Rattus norvegicus: one gene and its partner. The protein of the gene in region 1 purifies or fractionates together with the protein of each later gene. This does not show direct contact. Links are inferred from orthologs where the notes say so. Each region holds a gene or a part of one and is shown on either strand. Other genes may lie near its edges.

Region 1 (2,775 bases):
AATTTACTTTATTATGAATTCCATATTAGGATGATTCTGTGTATTCTATCCTAATGAGTAATTATTTTATACTTCTGAGCCTTAAATAAGTACTCTCCTTACTAGCACCATGCTGAAAATATTAAATGCTTTATGCAATAATGGATAAAAAGTATGTTTATAGCAAATTATTATAGTCTATTTCTTAGAAGTTACTTCTTATTTTTATTTCTATCTAGCCCTAGCATAATTAAGAGGAAATTGAGATATTAGGACAGCTTTAAAAAGTCTCTTCAGGCGGGTGTGATGGCACACAGCTTTAATCGTAGCTCTTGGGAGACTGAGGCAGGCCGATCTCTAGAGGACACAGTAGTCTACATACTGAGTTCCAGGACAGCTAGGGCTATGTAGAAGACACTCTGTCTTTAAAAGAAGAAAGGAAGAAAAATCTTGAAACCATGGGAAGGAGAACCAGGCAAATCCCCGAGTTTCAGGCCCTCCAGGGCTACATGGTAAGAACCTATCTCTTCTTAGCACGTGTCACTGTGGCACATATCTGTAATCCTGGCACTCAGGACACAGGGGCAGGAGAACCTTGTCAAATGGAGGCCATCCTTGATGCTAGATAGGACTATGCATGTCTGTAATCCCAGCATTTGGAACACGGAGACAGGAAAATCAAGGATCCGCTCTGATCACACTTGGTTGATACCAGACTGGACTGTATGAAACTGTCTGAGAGCAACAAAAGTGAGCAAACGCACGCTAGAGTGAGCAGTTCGCTAGGTGTAGTGCGCATTCCTACATCATAGCACTCAAAGGCTACGGCAGGAGGATTGCAAAGTCTATGCCCAGTTAGGCCATGTTCCCTGCCCAATAGCAAAAAGTACATTTCTATGGATTGGTCTTTAAAATGTTAACGTATTTCACATTCTTAACTGATATAGGACCTCGGCCTCACTACTGTCTGGGAAGACCAGCTCTCCTATCTTTTATCACCAGCTTTGGCTTCATATGAATTTGAGCGAACGACAAGCATATCTGCAGGCAACGAAGAATTCCAGGATGCCATAAGGAGGGCTGTACCTGATGGCCACACATTTAAAGGGTTCCCCATACATTTTGTGTACAGAAATGCAAGGCGTGCATTTGCCACTTGTCTTCGGTAAGGATTCTGTTAATTCATAATTTAAAAATTTGTTAATTCATAGATATTTTTGTGCTAAGAATTTAGAAAGCAATTAATCTGCTAATTGCTAGTTGTGACAACATATATGCATGGGAGCTTCTAGAGTGACTTTGTCCTTAAATGTTTTTTCTTTTTAAATAGGTCTCCTTTTTGTGAAGAAATAATCTGTTGCCGTGGAGACCAGGTGCGACTGGCAGTTCGTGTTCGAGTGTTTACCTACCCTGAGTCTGCGTGTGCTGTTTGGATCATGTTTGCTTGTAAATATCGCTCGGTATTATAGGACTAACATTTCCTAAGAATTATTCCTGGGTTTTATTAGAATTGTATATGGATAGCTGTGTGAAGGTTTCTTAATTTAAAATCAGCCTTTTGGATGTCATTGTTTTGTATAGATCTGACTGGTAACGTTTTAAAATATCATGTATGTACTTAAAAATTAAGGATAAAAATTTGTACTGAATTTAGTAGAATTAAGGGTATGATAATAAATGGTACTTTGTTTTGAGGGACTCAGTAGTTTAAATGTGAATGTAAGATCTGCTACTTCATATTAATAAGTAAGTAAAGGGATTTGTCTAATGGTTTAAGCCATAGCTAAATCGAAATGGTCATTATTTTTCATAAATGAAAGATTATTTTACACGAATTGGGAGAAATTAACCTCATAATAGTTTATTTATTACATAGATGAAGATATATTTTGCTAAATTAATCATTTTTGTGTGGTACTAGGGGTATATGAGGCTTCCCAGAAATCTGTGAAGACTTTTATGTAAGAAAAAAGCTAGGTGTGGTGGCACACACTTTTAATTCCACAAGAGGCCAGCCTGGTCTACATAGCAAGTGTCAGGGCTATACAGTGAGAACCAGACTCCAAAACACAAACAACGACGACAAAAGGAATGTGGTAACCAAAATGCTGAATGTTAATAACAAATCGCACATGGATATGGACTATGAATAATTTATGGATATTTCTAAAATCCATTGAGCACTTTAGAAAGTGACTTATTACATGTCATTGTCACGATACTGGCTGCTCTTTAGTTTTTGTTGTGACAAAAGCATCAGCCTGTTGCCAGGCTGTGGTGGTGCAGACCCTTACTTCCAGCACTAGGGAGGCAGAAACAGGCAGATCTCTGTGAGGTCAAGGCCAGCCTTGTCAGTAGAGCTAGCTCCCGGACAGCCAGGGCTACACAGAGAACCCGGCCTCACAAAACAAACAAAAAACCCAAGAAAGAGACCGACCAGCCTACATGTGATTAGTGTCGTGGGAAAAATCATAAGAGGCTATGGAGAAAATGTGAACTTATATTTTTAAATCGAGGAAAGTTTAAACATTTTAAGAGGGCAAAAGTAAGTATTAAAAACTAAAGGAATTCGACTTGTAGCTAGTGATGGCTGTTGTGACTGTCTGCTCTGCATTTCTGTGCAGAGGGTTGTTTTGTTTTGGTGATAGTAGGAATTAGATCAAGGGCTTCCTCCATGCTCGGCAAACACAACCTCTGAGCTGCACCCACAGCGTCTCAACTGTGTAGCTCCGGCTGGCCCTGGCTGGCCCCGGCTGGCCCAGGACTCACAGAAATTTGCTTGTCTCTGTGTGCAGT
Region 2 (2,558 bases), on another chromosome or scaffold:
TTTCTTGCTTGGGATTAAAAAAAGGATTTATGTGTGTGGGTGTTTTGCCTTGTGTATATATGTGACCTGTATGTGTACAGTGCCCTTGGGGCCAGAAGTGGGTGTGGAAACCTTGGACCTGGAGGTTCTGATCTGCTGCATGGATGTCAGGATCTGCACGCTGGTCCAGAATAGCTTGTGTTCTTAACTACTGAGTCTTTTTCCACCCTTGCATGCCTTTTTTTTTTTTTTTTTTTTTTTTTTTGGCTGTTTTTTTTTCCTGTTGTTGTTGTTGTTGTTGTTATTGTTGCTTGTTTTGTTTGTTCTGTGAGACAGGGTTTCTGTGTAGCCGTGGCTGTCCTGGACCTCACAAATATCTGCCTGCTTCTGCCTCCCAAGTGATGGGATTAAAGCATGCGCCACCACCGCTCAACTTGCAATTCTTATAGTAAAAATTGGAAATTATTTTTATAAGATATGAAGGGTCATATTGTCAAGAACTTGGGATACTTTTAGTCATTTTAGAAAGTTATAAATAGGGGTTGGGGATTTAGCTCAGTGGTAGAGTGCTTGCCTAGCAAGCGCAAGGCCCTGGGTTCGGTCCTCAGCTCCGGAAAAAAAAAAAAAAAGAAAGTTATAAATAGCACATTTTAAAATAATTGGAAATTCTATGTCTGCATCTGTTTCTAAAATAGATTGATTTTTAGAAGATCCACTTAGATTCAGAGGCGCTAATTGACCCTTACCATCTTAGATGTCGGTCTATATTTTGCACATCATCGAGCCCTTAGTGAGAAAGATGCTGTCTTGCTTCTCCAGTGAAGCAGGAGAACGCTGTGGCCTTCTTTGTGCCGTGGATTGCCCTTTGCTACCAAAGACACAAAACTCTGCCCTGAGAAGAGGTTAGGGGAGTAATGAATGCAGGCAACTGCGTGGCTTCTGCGGGGGAAGGTCCGGACGTTTAAGAGAGACGGGATGTGTACTTTATAGTAAAACTGTGTCTCCTGGTTTACAGGTAAGGGCTCTACAGGCTTGGCAGCAGACAGTGGAACAGCGTCTAGTTTCCTGGCATTCTGATGTGCCTCCTATATCAAGTACTCTGGTGTCACCCAAGCCTCCGTTACTTCCACAACATCAGGACCCCTCTTCCGATCAGAATTCGGATTGGCTCATTATTGAGGATGACGCTCCTCAAGAGAAATCAGTGCCGGACTTTCCCGACTCTGGTTTTCACTCCTCCCTGACAGAACAAGTTCACTGTTTGCAGGATTCTTTGGATTTTGAAAAAAGTTCGGTAGAAAGCAGCGAAAACTCCGCGTTGGGGAATTCCGCTGACACAGTGAAATACGTCAAAGACCCAGACTCAGAGGCCACAGCTGAGGAGCACAGTGACTGCAGTAAGGAAAGCTCCACCAGTGAGCAGGATAACACCCTGCTGCAGCAGTATTTAGCTTCAGTCCAGCAGCTGGATGACGCGGATGACAGGGCAGGTCCCGACGATATGGCGGGAGACAATAAGCGTCTCCTAGCTTGTTCTCCGGAAAGGTTGGGTGCCTCTGACAGTGAGGCTCATAGAGCATCTCCTACTTTACAGGAGGAAATTAGCCAGACACCAGAGAATTGTAAGTTAAACGAGGAAGTCCAAGGGCAGCCTCCAGAATGTGACACTGCATTTCAGGTGCTGCAAGTGGGTGTCACTGTGTAGCCTGTCTGATTAACTGGGAAGCAGAAATTCCCTTTGATTTTCTGTTTTCACTTTCTTTTTGCAGGGGAGCAACCCTGTACCCCATTTTGTTATTCTTTAGCTACAACTTGTATTCTTGTCCCACAGTTTTTAGATATTAGCTGTTGAACTACGTATTCATTTTTGTTGTACTACTGTACTAAACAAAATATTAAAAGGAATATGCACTTTATCTCTCAATAGTTACACTAATAATGTTTCCTTTACATCTGTACTGCCTTTCAGAAGCCGTTTCTTGAAGTAGCTTGGTTATTTGAATAGGAGAACTTAGTTCTTCCTAACTACATAGTAAGGGATATAATACGTAAGACATGACTAGGATGAGGGCTATGGACAACTGGGCAGTCTCCTTGGACTAAAACCATGGTTTTTTCACCCTCTGAGTTAAGGAAAGCCTCTGTGTGTGTGTGTGTGTGTGTGTGTGTGTGTGTGTGTGTGTGTGTGTCTTGTGTGTATGTGTATGTGTGTGTGTGTTGTGTGTGTGTCTTGTGTGTATGTGTGTTGTGTGTGTATGTTGTGTGTGTGTCTTGTGTGTGTGTGTTTGTGTGTGTGTGTTTGTGTGTGTGTCTCTGTGTGTGTGTTGTGTTGTATGTTGTGTGTGTCTGTGTGTTGTGTGTGTGTCTTGTGTGTATGTATGTGTGTGTCTGTGTGTGTGTCTGTGTGTTGTGTGTGTGTCTGTGTGTTGTGTGTGTTGTGTGTGTGTGTTGTGTGTGTGTGTGTTGTGTGTATGTGTGTGTGTGTCTTGTGTGTGTGTGTTGTGTGTGTGTGTTGTGTGTGTTGTGTGTGTGTGTATGTGTGTGTATGTGTTGTGTTGTATGTTGTGTGTGTCTGTGTG

The links.
Region 2: the proteins of Cep76 (region 1) and Cep97 purify together in Homo sapiens (co-immunoprecipitation; 4 studies listed by BioGRID and IntAct, with this or other methods). This does not show direct contact. The link is inferred for Rattus norvegicus from reciprocal best matches to the Homo sapiens genes CEP76 and CEP97.

The regions. Positions count from the first base shown.
Region 1 is NC_086036.1:63,449,232-63,452,006, reverse strand, and holds the end of Cep76 (centrosomal protein of 76 kDa), read left to right. Parts: intron 1-926; coding exon 927-1,144; intron 1,145-1,309; coding exon 1,310-1,448; 3' UTR 1,449-2,031; downstream 2,032-2,775. UniProt on the Homo sapiens protein: Centrosomal protein involved in regulation of centriole duplication. Required to limit centriole duplication to once per cell cycle by preventing centriole reduplication.
Region 2 is NC_086029.1:58,178,622-58,181,179, forward strand, and holds the end of Cep97 (centrosomal protein of 97 kDa), read left to right. Parts: intron 1-994; coding exon 995-1,684; 3' UTR 1,685-1,902; downstream 1,903-2,558. UniProt on the Homo sapiens protein: Acts as a key negative regulator of ciliogenesis in collaboration with CCP110 by capping the mother centriole thereby preventing cilia formation. Required for recruitment of CCP110 to the centrosome.